Linked DNA regions of Arabidopsis thaliana. The protein of the gene in region 2 interacts with the protein of the main gene of each other region in a pairwise test. Each region holds a gene or a part of one and is shown on either strand. Other genes may lie near its edges.

Region 1 (4,760 bases), about 19 Mb from region 2:
ATTGGTGAATTAATGAGTATCCACCACACATATGACATATACACATATTCATACATGTAAGATGTGTCATGTATGCATGTATGAGTAGTGTCATGTGTGTGCACGTACGAAGCCATACCACATATACATGCAGATATAATGCATGCATGTGTAAGAGCAGACAATATATTAAAATATCGAATGTTGACGGTGAGATGGAAAAGGAAGGTATCGTATGTCTAAGGTTTATGGATTCCACGTCCAAAAGATAAAAGGTAAAAGATAAAAGAGCCTTCACCTTCGGTGTGACCAATCAATAAATTTCTATATAAAATATATGATATCATCTTTCTTTTTTTCTGTTTCTGTTAAACGATATCTGATGATAACATTATATATCATGTACTTTAAAGTAATATTTGGAGCGTTGAAAATGACAATATTTTCTGCTTAGTAATAATTATTATTATATTCTATGCTTCTCGTAAAAGTAGTACTATATGGGGTCTTCTTTATATCTAGAGTAATTTCTTTAGCTTTCTGAAATATGATTCATATGTAGTACATAATGTGAAATCAAACATTTTAAATGAAATTATGCAATGAATGTGGTTACTAAAATGCCTCAAATGAAATTGTATCCTTTGGATTTAAACAATAAACACGATCGTTCTTATATGATTCATGAATCATTATTGTATACGAATCATTATTGTATACCTTATCAGTTGATGATTAATTTTAGTCACTTTTTATTTAGACAACGAAAGTAATTAACACGTTAGTAAGACAAATACAAATAAAGTTCTATAATATGAATCGTCAGTTTTTTATACATAGGATTCGCTTTGCAGTACTGCATTCCCTTCTCAATTTTTCTGAGTGTTTTTTTCCCCTTTTAAAGAATCATCTGAGACACTTTCGAGAATAATTTAATTCTTCTCGTTGAAAAATTGGACCGCATTAGTGGACTCTCTATTTACACTTAGAAGCTCTCTCAATTTGTTTTTGCTTCTAGTACGATCTTCTAATTAGCATGTGAATGGCCAACAAATAAACGCATGTCCAATACATCAACCGTTGCTTTCCCTTCTTTAAAGCCTGTTTAAATTAAAATATCATAATAAGCAATAATTAAGACCGCAAATTTTTAATTAACTAATATGTATCTAAAAATCAGATGGTGAGGATAATCATAAATATCATGTACTAATCATATCGCTCCAAAAAAAATGTATACTTTATCGCTATTAATCAAGAAATATGTTAAAATAAATATGTTTGGTAAGAATATGTTCTAGAAAAGCCGAACTTTTCAAGTATAAAACGTCACAATTAGAAGAAAGAAACGTCACAATTCTCTTCTTTTTTAGACAACAGGTCAGAATTTGTTTTAAAAATGTTTCTCAATCAAAGCTTTTTTCAAGGGATTTAATGTGCTATATAAAGATTAAAAAGAAAGAAATATGGAAGTAAGAGATCTAGTAGAAACAGAGCAAGTAAAGTTAAATGTTGATACATACCGTGGAGGCAGAGGAAGTGAGGGAAATAATAGAAGTTGAAGAAGTAGTTGATGTTGATGTTAATGATGACGACGATAATAAACCTACATTGTAAGTCATGGTCTCATCAGGCTGATACAATCCATAATTCCTCTCAGAGGTTGGTCCTGGTTTAAGGTCTTCATTGAAAAGAGCAAATAGATAAACATCAAAACTCAAGTTTGGTCTCAATGGCGTTCCTTCATTTTGAAGTTGTCTCCTTAGAATATTTTTGTTATAAACGGCTGCGTTGGCCACAGTGGCTCCAACCTCATCTCCATCGCCTTTAGACGGCCATCCAGTCTCCGAGACCCCAACTTCGATGTCTTTGAAGCCAAGCCTCGCCATGGCAAAGATCACAGCGTCTACTTGAGCGTAGAGCATGTTGTCATAGCGGTACTTGGTATAGGGGTCAACCATTCCAGGGTTAGGGTTGAAGAGGACGTAGTCTAATGGGATCTTTGTTGGGGAATCCTTGTAAGCGAAGTAAGGGTAAGCGTTGATCCAGAAGGGGGAATTCGTGTTACGCAAGAAACCTAGTAGCTGTGTCATTACGCCAGCTACTTCCGGCCTAAAACATCCGGCGGATGGAGGGTAAGATTCTTGAAGGACGGATAGTGAGTTCGGAGTCGATACTTGAATGTACTTGTCTAGTCCGGTTTGGACCAAAGCCCCATGAATGCTCATCATTGCAGGCATAAGATACCTGCGAATCATAGCAATAACGAGGTTGAATACTTTCTTCTTTTTTTGAACTAGAGGATCTCAGGATGATACCCACATGACTACCATGATTTGGTTAGTAGGGCATATTTGTAATGGACCAAGATTTGAAAAGGATAACAATTTATAGGAATGAGGGGATGTATGTAACAAACCCTATAAGGCTTGAGTCATCGTCAGTGTATAGTTCGTTGCCGACGGCGATACCACCGATCTTGGTGGCCGGAAAGTAGGGTTTGATACGGGTAGTGACCCATTGGAGAGCTTGTTGAGGGTCTACTAAGCTGGGAAGCATTTCATTTTCGACGGTGACAAAGAGCTCGATATTGGAATTGGCAAATGAGGTTAACACTCGAGGGTTTGTGTCATAGATTCTTGTCTTATTGATATGGAGTGAACTCAAGAGTTGTAGAACTTTGTCCGGTGGAGGAAGATTGTCGCCGACTTGACCATAGTTGATGCCAAGAGAGGAGACCCTTTGAAACAACAATCCATGTTCTGTGAAAAAAATGTAAGAGAAATTTAAATAATTAAAGTGTAATGACAAACTGAAATTGAGATAATGAATTTTGTTTGTTGGTAGACAGAAATAAGCAATTATTCAAAAACGATACCTAAGAAAGTCAAGGAAAATAGAAGAAGAACGATAGAGTTGGTCATGGCAATTCTGCTAAACATGTTAGACATGGAGAAGAGAGAAAGAGGGAGATAAAGACTGAGGGAGAAAGTGCTTGTAAGAGAATCAATGCAATGAAATGTGGGGATAGATATAGAGATGAAGAATTGAGAAATGGGACCAAGTAGGCGACGAATAATTATTAATTTATAATTTAGAGATAATACTTTACTTTGCCTGCCTTTGTTTTATGGTGAGACATAGGGTTTCTACAATAAAAGTGACAATATGATTAATTCCAAAAATAATTCAATAAGTTATTTAAATTTATACTCGTTAGTTTTGTAATGGGAGTAGGTTTGGCAATAGGTTTATCTTATGGAAGTCTATTGTAAAAATAGATAGTGTTTGCCAAAAACATTCTTTGTGAGGCAACATGGGTTTCATAAAACATTTTGGACCCAAGAAGAAAAAAATATGACATCTTAGATTGTCTCTTTCCAACACATTGCCAACTATGTCAGTCCAAAAAAAAAAAAAAATGAAAAAGTGGCCTAAAAGAAGACACTTTCTTCAGACAAAGGCAAAGGTGGGAAAAATTGAATTGCCCACTATAATAGGTTTTTAATCTTAACAATATGTCTATTAAACACAAAGAAAAAAAAAACATTATGTCTTTGGCATAGAATTTGGAGGATCCCAAATTTGGTAGTTGGGTGAACCAAAAAAATGGAACGTAAAGAGTAGAAATCACACCATCATAATGATAAGAAGGATAGTGCGCTTATCTTCAGTTTATTATATTTATATAGTATTGCAATTTGCATCTTGTGAAATAAAAGCTCTTTTAAAAAACATTGTAACGATTGTTAGAATTGTATTTCACGTGAAATTATAGTATGACCCTCAGTTAATCCTATATTTGATATTCAACGGAGTTTAGTCGCATATTTAAAACTGATCCTACGTTTCAATTCAGAATTTATATACCGTTAGCTTACATGTAAAAGTAAATATTTCTAAATTCAACCTAACTCATCTAGTCAACCCGCTCGATCACAAAAAAAATTAGGTTGCACAACGGTTCATTATTTATGTTTTAGATGAAATAAAATAAATTAATTACTCGATTAATCAATCAATGGAAAAAAACGGTTTTAAACAAGTTTACAAAAAGAAAAGTTAATCAAAGTTGATATGTAAATTTACAGCCTAATTGGCCCTAGCCAATAATTTAGTTGTCTGAAACAATTTTTTTTTTCTTTCAGTTTGATATTAAAACAATAAAAGCTCTAACTATACACCAGGTGATAATTGTAATTCAACTTCATTTTGTACAGATTTTTGGAAGTTTGGGTTGTTACTTTTCTTATAGAACGGACTTCTTACTACAGTATAACCTCTATAAATTAATAACCTTTATAAATTAATAAATTCTTCCGGTCCCGAGTTGGGACTAGTGTAAAAAATGACACAAATCGATAAATTAATAAGATAATAATTTTTTGGAAAGTTCTATGTAAATATATGGTCTCATCGATATCATAAATTAATAATTGTATAAATATATCAACTATATATATATATTATATGTAAAAAATTTCTTTAAAATATATTTATAATAATTTTTTGTTTAAATTCATATTTGTTATTTGTTTGATTATAGTTTTCATATTTTACTATACCAAAACTTTTGTTATTTGTTTAATAATGTTTTCTAGACATTATTATTATGTTTTATTTGTAACTGGTTCTAGAAATATATTTTTTATAATGAAAAAAATCTTATAAATTTTTTTAAAAAGTTACCAAATTAAGAAAATCTCTCTATAAATTAATAAATATTAATTTATCAATAAATTAATACCTCTCTAAATTAATAAAATTTTGCAGTCCCAAAT
Region 2 (4,199 bases):
AAGAGTAAAGGTGTGACGCCTAACTCCAAGTCATGTAACATCATTCTACGCCATCTAATAGAACGAGGGGAGAAAGACGAAGCTTTTGATGTCTTTAGGAAGATGATTAAAGTGTGTGAACCAGATGCAGACACTTACACGATGGTGATCAAGATGTTTTGTGAAAAGAAAGAGATGGAGACAGCGGATAAAGTGTGGAAATACATGAGGAAGAAAGGGGTGTTCCCTAGTATGCATACATTCTCGGTTCTTATTAATGGGTTGTGCGAGGAGCGTACCACTCAGAAAGCTTGTGTTTTGTTAGAGGAGATGATCGAGATGGGGATTCGACCATCGGGTGTAACGTTTGGTAGATTAAGACAGCTGCTTATCAAAGAAGAGAGAGAAGATGTGCTCAAGTTCCTTAATGAGAAGATGAACGTTTTGGTCAATGAGCCGTTGTGTGATTGACTTTCTTAGATTTCCTGTGAACCACAGATTAGTACGCTAACAACAGCTGATCCTAAGCATTTGGCTCAGGCTCCATTTACCTTGGTAAAGTTGTAATTTAAATTGGAATCAGCAATTGTTGCGGTTTCGATACATGAGATATTAAAATATAGATGATACAAACCATTTGATGTGTCTGGTTGCGGATGATACGATGTCGAGGCCAAAAGACACAATTCAGTTTCTCCAAGAACATAAGACACAACTAAAATGATTATCTCTATGATTATAAGCTGCAAAGGAAACAGACCTAATACTCACATCAAGCATAAGATGTGGATTTTGAATTTAGGGTTTCTAAGTATCACAATTCATGATGTTGAAAGTGTTTTTGCATCTTCAAGTGCCAAACAAATCTAAGTCCAGAATAATAAGCCGTATCAATTCCATTATCAGGTTCAGTGTCTCTTAGACTTTGACTCGGTTTTGGATAGCATGTATCCAGAGATCTTGTTCACCTCGTACAATAGCCCAGCAGAGAACAGGAAACTGCAGGCAGATCAAGAAACAGCATCACAATCACCACACCGCTTTTAGCAAGAGAGGAATGAAGTAATTAAACAGGGTAAATGGATATACCAAGTAGAACTAGTGAATTTCCACTTACCAGGTTGTGATACAAACCCGATGAACCGTGCCAGCAGCGATAAGAGCTATGATTTCTGCAAGAATGACTGCCATGGAAACAAAAATTGGCTTCAATACATTGCAAACCCTTGTTGAGTAATGAGTATACCCACTTTCACACAGCAGAAGCAGGAGGGGGCAAACAAATTCGAGCCATTTATCACTGTGATTCTTATATAGGTGATACAGAAAAAGACATAAGAATGAAAAAAATTTGGTTCCAACAACTGATTCACTAAAAGAGTATTTGTAACACATAAAAGTAAGAGTTTTCGTAATATGTTATCAGAAAGTAAACTTAGAGCATCATCATCAAAGATTCAAAAATTCCACTCTTAAGCCCTCAAACTTCTGAAGTGGAAGACAAAATGGGGTAGAGTAGACACCCAATGGTTTTGATCGTATGAACAAATTTGATTTCATGAAGAAGCAAGGACATACCTGCACCCCAACCACTCTTGATGCCAGAAGATTCCTGAAAATTTCCAATGAACTGAAAGTAAAAGAAACCGCATCAACCAAACTGTCAACAACAAATGTAGATGAATTCGAGAAGAAAACAAAAGATCTCAAATTTAACGACACAGATCAACATTGGAGTTGTAAAGGTAGTGCATTTCCATGAAGACGAGATCAAGTTGAGGAATTCTAAGGAACTTACAGTGAGAGAAAACAAAAAGAGGAGAGAGCTTGTGAATCCACCAAGGATCGTGAACAGCTCTGAAGAAGCTAATTTTCCTCTGTAAATTTCCTGAAGCGAGAGGATCACTGTAAACACAATAAGAGACCCTAACATTGATGTTCCAACAGCTCCTGCCATGCTTCTAAATCCAAACTAAACAATCAAATTAAGACCGTAACAGATAATCAGACACGAATTCGTACAAAACTGATCGATTGATCCACTGGTCGGAAAACGAGAAATCAACAGATAGAAGAATGTGATGAGTTACCTTGAAAGCCCTAAAGATCAGATCTTCTCCTCACGCTCGTCACTGCCACAGTTCCACTTCGAAGACCGGCAAATCGGAAACAAAGGAGATCGAGAAGAGATTTTAAGAAATGGGAAAATTGGGAATTCGCATTGACCATAAAATACATGTTTATCGTATATATTACATATATACCCTGACGGACCAGTCGCGGTTTCAAACGCTGTCGTTTTATACAAACAACTGACGTAGTATTGTACATGCCACTTGAGTTTGGGTTTAATTAATAAACCAATGCAGAATACCAAACGTAGCATTGTACCGGGTTTGAGGTTTTGCTTGCATTCACTGATTCATAAACCCTAAACCCTACTGTTGCTTGAACTGGAAGTACAACTTACCGTCGAATCAACCGACGATGAGATTACTACTTCCAAATCTCCTTCTACTTCTTCCGGCTACCTTCTCCGTCGAAGGCCATTATCCACCGCCGCATCTCTGCTTACAAAGTTACAAGTACTATCTCAACAGCAGAGTCTAACCCCTCTAATCTTCCATGCCGATTACTCTCAATTGTCTCCGAACCAAATTGGCAGAACAATCCATCTCTAAAATCTCTTACCCCTTCTATACACCTTCTCATGTCTCTTCTCTGTTTTCACTCAATCTTGATCCTCAGACAGCTCTCAGTTTCTCGGATTGGATCTCTCGGATACCAAACTTCAAGCACAACGTTACTTCATACGCGTCTTTGGTTACTCTTCTCTGCAGCCAGGAAATACCTTATGAGGTGCCTAAGATCACGATCTTAATGATAAAGAGCTGCAATTCAGTGCGAGACGCTTTGTTTGTTGTTGATTTCTGTAGGACAATGCGTAAAGGTGATAGCTTCGAGATTAAATATAAACTTACTCCTAAATGCTACAATAATCTGTTGAGTTCATTAGCTAGATTTGGATTAGTCGAAGAAATGAAGAGACTTTATACTGAAATGTTGGAGGATTTGGTTTCTCCAGACATATACACGTTTAACACATTGGTTAATGGGTATTGTAAGCTTGGATATGTAGTAGAAGCAAAGCAGTATGTGACTTGGCTTATTCAAGCTGGATGTGATCCTGATTATTTCACATATACTTCTTTTATTACCGGACATTGTCGAAGAAAAGAAGTCGATGCGGCTTTTAAGGTTTTTAAGGAGATGACTCAGAACGGTTGCCATAGAAATGAGGTTTCTTACACTCAGCTTATATATGGTCTATTTGAAGCAAAGAAGATCGATGAAGCTTTGAGCTTATTGGTGAAAATGAAAGATGACAATTGTTGTCCTAATGTTCGAACATACACAGTGCTTATAGATGCTTTGTGTGGATCAGGACAGAAGTCAGAAGCTATGAATTTGTTTAAGCAGATGTCAGAGAGTGGCATTAAGCCTGATGATTGTATGTATACTGTGCTTATTCAGAGTTTTTGTAGTGGAGATACACTTGATGAAGCAAGTGGATTGCTAGAACATATGTTGGAGAATGGGTTGATGCCAAATGTTATTACATACAATGCATTGATCAAAGGTTTTTGTAAGAAGAATGTGCACAAAGCAATGGGACTGCTTAGTAAGATGCTAGAGCAGAATTTGGTTCCAGACTTGATAACTTATAATACATTGATCGCTGGACAGTGTAGCTCTGGTAATTTAGATAGTGCATATAGATTGCTTAGTTTGATGGAAGAAAGTGGATTGGTTCCAAACCAGCGTACAGTATGAGGAATATCGTTAAGTGAGAAGATTTGTAATGGTCTTCTTAGATGTTACTACAAGCTGCAAAAGTATGAGGAAGCTGCAAAAGTTGTGGAAGATATGATATGTAATGGTCATTCACCACAACTAGAGTTTTGCAAAATGTTGATTTGCAAGCTGTGTGAAGAAGGAGAAAAAGAGAGAGTCAACTCGGTTTTCGAAAAACTGCTTCGATGTGGATATTGCGATGATGAAATCGCTTGGAAAATCCTCATTGATGGTGTGCTTAAACAGGGCTTTGTAGAGGGGTTTTGTGAGTTGTTCCAAGTAATGGAAAAAAGTGGCTGCAAATTTAGCTCTCATACACGATCGATGCTTAGTAAAGGTCTTCAAGGGAAAGATTGATTACATTT
Region 3 (7,207 bases), 2.8 Mb from region 2:
ACTTGAAGACATGTATTCCACGCTGAAAACACAATTCTTTTGAATATAGTTTTATGATATAATCATGAAAACCTATATTTAGATTTGCTTAGGACTCTAAATATATCACAATGGATACGATCTTGAAATCCCACTTATTTCATCTAACTCCCCAAAAAAAGAAAAAAAAGATGAATTTGTTATGCACAACTGGATTATAAAAAATCGACTTTTATATCAAAAACCTGAATTCAATCTAACAGTATATACTACAAAAAAATGATCAAATGTTTATATATGTAGGTGCAAATATTTTCCTATAACATACTTGAGATAGTAACTTAAGAAATGATTAATAATTATGTTTCTTTCAGCAGGGTCAAAAATGTATTCCCACATTTAACATGCTTTAGTAAGTAATTATGGTATACTTTATAAGAGGATATTATATAAATATCTCTTAGTATAACCATATGAAGTCGGTAGATATGATCCTCTCAAATACAAAATAGAAAAAGTGAGCTTTCTAAGAGTTGGAGTTATCTATCAAACTCCATATACATTTTTCGTTATTCGATCATGACCATTAAAATGCATATGTTTGATAGTGACCCGCACCACACAGCTCAGCATATTGAGACAGATTAGTAAAAGCAGTCCAAACCTTAGGCACCCAGTCCACGGTTCATATCATCTGACCATTGAGAATGGTGAAGAGAGATAAGATGATCGAACGGTGTACAATAATATGACCATAAAATCGAACGGTGATACGGTATAGGATCCCACGTAAAGGTCCAAACAAAAAAAAATTAATAAAGAAGAAAAGACAAAGAGGGTTTGCGTAGAAATTTGATGGCTCGCGCATGCGACAGTGTTAGGCACTTGCATTTGCCTAAAAGGCGATAAAAGCCTACCTCATCTTATCGTATTTCTCTTTCTGTTTCTGTCTTCACTCACCGATTTTTATGTTTGTGTTCAATTTGAATTTTACAAGTTTGGTTGGACTTAATCTTTCCTTTAACATAAACATTCAATGATAATTTTATTATTAATGTTCATTTCTTGTGAAGATTTTCATTGTTTCTATATATAATATATATTTTACATTGAGAAAAAAAAATGATGCGAATTGTTTTGAAGTTGAAGTGGTTGATTAATATTTTTTTCTACAATAAATCAATGAAAATTTAGAATTGAAAAATATCTAGACATGGAATTTCTCAACTCAACATCTAGATAAACATATGTACCACACATTCGAGCAATCGTATAAAATTATATACGAATAAATAGAATTAGTTTCTTTCTCGGAAATTCTGTTAATATTTTTAGGAGGATTAAGTGGGTTCGAAATTTAATCACTTCCTGCACAAATTCATCTCAATGTATTAATTGGTGATATGTCATTTTTTTATTTTATTTTTTGGTATGAGCTTCCAAAGTTTTAAGGCCAGCTCTATATGTGTACTATTGTTTCTAACTTTATTATATTAAATTTTGGTGATATGTGTTTCTTTGTTTGATTGCAACCCAAAATAGTTTAAGGTTCATCTTAGAGTGCGATGACTTTTTGTGCAAAAATATTAGATCATGTTGGTATGTACGTTTTGAGTTTTATTTATTTGTTTACCAATTGAACGACTCTCAACAAGCAATTGTATGCCAAGATGACATATTGGACGTTTCAAGTGTGTGAATTGTATAAAGCAGTAAATAAAATCTACTCTTATTAACTAGTTTGAAAGAGAGTTTTAACTTCGAAGAATCTATCGCCATGAGTCAAAATCGTATAAATGTGACAAATGTTTATCTCTATCAATAATAGTAAAAATTTTAAAAGGTTCTATATAAATTTTAAGATTTTGTCAGGATCATTAAAGTGTAGAACTAAGTCAACTGATTGATTAATAGAAAAAATCGATACAATCTCACTTCCTTTAAGAAAATAAAAATAAAATATGCTTTAGAGAAAATAAAATCTCGCTTATTTATGAGATATCATATCATTTTTAGGTAAAAAAGATTAGATGTCCTTTTGAGACACATCATACCATATATATGACCGACAACACACATAAAACCGCGTGAACAAAAAATATCATCCATCAACCCCTTACGATGCAAATGTACTGTAAAAGATGGTTCATTAATTTAACATCGTATTTTAACGTTACAATTGTATGGAACATGGAAGGTTCACAATACGTGGAACAAAACAATAATGTTACGTACGGTGTAAGAAAAACAAAAAAAACATAGCACTAAAATAGTTTTCTTTTAATTTTCCTCTTCAAACTTCTCACGTGGAGGCTACTAGTGGCGAACGTCATTCAAATTTACCCACACCCACCATATATTATCTACTCACTCCCTTATATATACACACTTCCACAAATAATTCACTACACCCAAAAAAGCTTCTAACAAAGAGAAAGTGTCTGTATGTTGTGCCCACTCTCTACATTTATCAATCACTTCATGTGTGTTACCTTGATTGCAAAAAAGTGAGAATATATTCTCACAACATTAAATCCACCCCGAAATCGAAGTGAGTATATCACGAGTGTAGTAATATCTTAGAGATGGTTTTGGAGGATAGAAAGGACGGTTCTTCTTTGCCGGGACGATCCGGTAGTTTCTCTAAATCGTCACCGTCGGAGTTGGATGTTGTTGATCCCTACAAGCGGATAAGTTCGCCGGGATCTATATTGGATGCTGAGAAGGTAGAGAAAAAGCCTGGAGGATGGAGAGCCGTCTCGTTCATTTTAGGTATTTTAATTTTATTTTTAGGCTTCGTGTACATAATTTAGTTTACCTAATCCTTGACCTTTCCTCAGTTATTGGCTAATATTTTTTTGTTAATTTCCTTAATTGGATATATAGTTCTAGAAACCAGTTAATATATTATCATTGGGAGATGTAACGGGCCGTTGCAAGATCACGTTCTGCCTAAATCATTGCACATAATAGTCAGAACAAAAGAAATGAGCGCATAATCTTTTCAGCTCGATCAAAAATTATATTATATATTACTCTCGTAACCGTCGGTCCAACATGTTTGACACTCGTCTAGCTGACGACTTTATAACTGAAATGGAATAAAAATTTGTCATCATAAGTGCTCTTTTAGCCAAAATGTTAACTTTCATTTTAAATTATTTTATACTTTTAAATTTTTATAATATTTTATTTCTCTCTATTTAATGGAATATGATTAATTTTGTTAGTGATGATAATTACTAGATAAAATGGAGTATAATTGATATTCTTCAATAGAGGGATTATTTGTCGATTTATTTGCTGATAATATTTTGTAATAAAATGGGTTGAATAGGAAATGAGACGCTGGAGAGACTGGGATCGATAGGATTGTTGGCAAACTTCATGGTTTATCTAACCAAAGTGTTTCACTTAGAACAAGTCGACGCTGCAAATGTCATCAACATTTGGTCAGGTTTCACCAATCTCACTCCTCTCGTCGGAGCGTATATCTCAGACACTTATGTTGGCCGCTTCAAGACCATCGCTTTCGCCTCATTCGCCACTCTCCTCGTACGTATAATATTTTTTTATTTAACTTATTGAAAATTTTATATAATCTTTTTAAAAAACTAAAATAAAAATAAATAATCTAATGTGTCTACAAATACACAACATTTACGTACGTAGTAGTATTTACTTTATATGTTCCTAACACCTCAAATCCGCAACTATTCGCGGCCTACTGCCAGCATGGGTCAGTGCTTTAGCGTCCACTGTTCGAATAGTTGCATCCAACAAAAAACATAACAACTCTAAATAGAAAGTTCTATATTACTACTCAATTTACGTGTTTTTTTGTGTGTGTGGCGACGATACATGATACTTGGCACATAATTTCACCCCGCACGTGGACATGATAAGAAAATACGTATAGACAAATTAAATTAAGTATATATATATGTAAATGACAAAGTATTAACACTTTATATATTATTTTATACCTATTATGTTACTCTCTTTTTTTCTATATCAAAAGCTATTAAATTACTTTTGTATCGTACGAAAACGCATGAACTTATTGAGGGACCACGCTATCGAGGACGATAAGGTCGGTCAATAATGTGAATCATAAGAACAAAAGCATTAGTTAGTACACTTATTCTTGTCGGTATTTACCTTGAAAATTTATATAACATCCAAAAAAAATGGTAAGAAAATACTTATCTCACGTAAACATCTTTTGTTCATTGATGAAACATTTTCCAATAAAGGAGTTACGTATTAGAACGTGTTCTGTTTAAGAGATAAAGAGATGTGCGTAGAAAAGGAAGAGATACGCAAGTGGTCAATATAGATTATTGACAATGAGATTGTCCAATAATTGAGTGTTTGAGTTTCTTGATGATTTAGCTAGCTAGTTGGGTTTTAGATTTGGTCAGTATCACAGTGACGTTACGTATATAATAATAGTTACTTTTCTAGTGTCTGTTTCATTCACAATTATAGAATTATGATCGCATCCAACTTGTTAATTTCTCTTGCACTTTTTTGTCTTTTTCGTAATTAGTTAAACGTTGAACTTAAACTGTTACAAATGCTCATATTACTATATTAGGGTTACAACAGAAATAAATGATATTAGGTTCTACGTCACTGTCACTTTCACCTAATCAAGGTAACATCACTTTTCAATCATATGAAGTCAAACCTAATTAAGACTATTGTAAACTTTATTAATTGTTTGTATTTGTTCGCATAACTTCAATCTATATATCCCACACTACTGTTTGCTTTCTTCAATATTAATTAACAATCATTCAGTTTCAAGTTATATATTATAGAATATCTAATAATGAAGAATCGGTTTCAAAATTAATAATGACTGATTATAATTACATTGACAACATGCAGGGACTAATAACAATTACACTCACAGCATCGTTTCCTCAACTCCACCCAGCATCATGCAACAGCCAGGACCCACTCAGTTGCGGCGGTCCGAATAAGCTCCAGATCGGAGTTTTGCTATTGGGACTCTGTTTCCTCTCCGTAGGGAGTGGAGGAATACGACCTTGTAGCATCCCTTTTGGGGTTGATCAGTTTGACCAACGAACTGAGGAAGGGGTTAAAGGAGTGGCCAGTTTCTTCAACTGGTATTACATGACTTTCACTGTGGTTCTGATCATTACACAGACCGTAGTTGTGTATATCCAGGATCAAGTCAGTTGGATTATCGGTTTTAGTATCCCTACCGGACTCATGGCTCTTGCGGTTGTTATGTTTTTTGCCGGAATGAAGCGTTATGTCTACGTTAAACCAGAAGGAAGTATATTCTCTGGGATCGCTCAAGTTATCGTGGCAGCTCGTAAGAAGCGAAAGCTGAAACTTCCGGCGGAAGATGACGGCACTGTCACCTATTACGACCCAGCCATCAAGTCTAGCGTGTTATCCAAGTTACACCGCAGTAACCAATTCAGGTACTTAATATATGATTTTTGTTTTTATTTTTTGCTTATCACTTTCAAGGTGGTTTTAAGACAACACTGATTACATGATTTTGTATTAACCTATAGTCTAACTGAAATGGCATAAAATTAGGTGTCTTGACAAAGCCGCGGTGGTTATAGAAGGTGACCTAACACCCGAGGGACCTCCCGCAGACAAGTGGCGGTTATGCAGCGTCCAAGAAGTGGAAGAAGTGAAGTGTTTGATCCGAATTGTTCCTATCTGGTCGGCCGGAATAATCTCACTCGCGGCCATGACAACACAAGGCACTTTCACGGTCTCTCAAGCTTTGAAAATGGATCGAAACTTAGGTCCTAAATTCGAGATTCCGGCTGGTTCACTCTCCGTCATCTCTCTCCTCACAATCGGCATCTTTCTTCCCTTCTACGACCGCGTTTTTGTACCATTCATGCGGCGAATCACCGGCCATAAATCCGGAATCACACTCCTCCAAAGGATAGGAACAGGGATCGTTTTCGCGATCTTTTCTATGATCGTTGCGGGCATTGTGGAGCGTATGAGACGCATACGCTCCATCAATGCCGGAGATCCAACGGGAATGACTCCAATGTCGGTGTTTTGGCTTTCGCCGCAGCTAATTCTCATGGGACTATGTGAAGCATTCAATATCATCGGACAAATTGAGTTCTTCAACAGTCAGTTTCCAGAGCACATGAGAAGTATCGCTAACTCTCTCTTCTCTTTATCGTTCGCCGGTTCGAGCTACCTTAGTAGTTTCCTTGTGACTGTCGTTCATAAATTCTCCGGTGGGCATGATCGTCCGGATTGGCTAAACAAGAATCTCAACGCGGGAAAATTGGATTACTTCTATTATCTGATTGCGGTTTTGGGTGTGGTTAATCTGGTTTACTTTTGGTATTGTGCTCGGGGATACCGGTACAAGGTCGGTTTACCGATTGAAGACTTTGAGGAGGACAAGTCCTCCGATGATGTTGAGATGACTTCGAAGAAATCGATGAAATGATTTAATAGACTATCCTTAGGGACAACAAGAAGATTGTCGATGTTGTTTGAATAATTACTATGACAATGTATGTATCATAATATGTAAGAACTAGAATATTTAATAAAATTTTACCTTTCATTATGTAGAAGTGTTAGATATAGTTCACAGTTTTGTCTTATTTTATAACTTTGTCATCATACTCTCTGCCTGGAATCAGAAAACCATCTCTAACAAGTATATTTAAAATCATAAAAGTAATCTAGTTAGATGGATTGCATTTGGAACTATATCATATACACTATGTTATGACTTGATAGAAATATAAACAGTATAGTTTTAATTGATCATTTCTATGGAGGATCACGTTATTAGGCATAGTTTCATCCTTTATCGATTACGGACGGTAAATGAGTACAACCCAACTAATATGTTGTAAAGAAAAGCTACTACTGCTATTACTGTTAATATTAATATTAGACTTCTTGGGTACATAAAAAAAAAAAAAATATATATATATATATATATCATATTAGACTTCTAGAACACCAAGTCCAAAACATATTTGGCATGAAGCAAAAATATCTACTGCTTTATTTTGTGTCTACCTCTTTGCCACATGCTGTATATTCCATCATTCATTTAACCTACAATTGAATTCCGTTTTAACGTTTATTCACTCAATTAATATATTGGGGTTTGACAAAAATAAATAACTAGTATATAGGTTTGTATGCTTTTTTACTGTTAGCTAATAAATAGAAAATCCAAAAG

What was found. Proteins that work in one complex are often made in the same cells at the same time.
Region 1: the proteins of AT1G77350 (region 2) and AT1G30080 interact in a protein complementation assay, tested with the Arabidopsis thaliana proteins (one large-scale study listed by BioGRID).
Region 3: the proteins of AT1G77350 (region 2) and NRT1.7 interact in a protein complementation assay, tested with the Arabidopsis thaliana proteins (one large-scale study listed by BioGRID).

What each region holds. Positions count from the first base shown.
Region 1 is NC_003070.9:10,550,238-10,554,997, forward strand, and holds AT1G30080 (Glycosyl hydrolase superfamily protein), read right to left. Parts: upstream 3,059-4,760; 5' UTR 2,931-3,058; coding exon 2,858-2,930; intron 2,742-2,857; coding exon 2,399-2,741; intron 2,227-2,398; coding exon 1,503-2,226; coding exon of another isoform or gene 1,485-1,502; exon of another isoform or gene 1,081-1,484; coding exon 994-1,080; 3' UTR 618-993; downstream 1-617.
Region 2 is NC_003070.9:29,068,234-29,072,432, reverse strand, and holds AT1G77350 (keratinocyte-associated-like protein), read right to left. Parts: upstream 2,209-4,199; 5' UTR 2,070-2,208; intron 1,952-2,069; 5' UTR 1,937-1,951; coding exon 1,778-1,936; intron 1,610-1,777; coding exon 1,558-1,609; intron 1,164-1,557; coding exon 1,097-1,163; intron 979-1,096; coding exon 888-978; 3' UTR 534-887; downstream 1-533. Other genes in the region: APPR6 (Tetratricopeptide repeat (TPR)-like superfamily protein), read left to right, coding at 1-450; AT1G77340 (Pentatricopeptide repeat (PPR) superfamily protein), read left to right, coding at 2,605-3,813.
Region 3 is NC_003070.9:26,313,644-26,320,850, forward strand, and holds NRT1.7 (nitrate transporter 1.7), read left to right. Parts: upstream 1-2,143; 5' UTR 2,144-2,564; coding exon 2,565-2,751; intron 2,752-3,316; coding exon 3,317-3,534; intron 3,535-4,875; coding exon 4,876-5,441; intron 5,442-5,562; coding exon 5,563-6,454; 3' UTR 6,455-6,590; downstream 6,591-7,207. UniProt on the Arabidopsis thaliana protein: Low-affinity proton-dependent nitrate transporter. Not involved in dipeptides transport, but has a weak glucosinolate transport activity. Involved in phloem loading and nitrate remobilization from the older leaves to other tissues.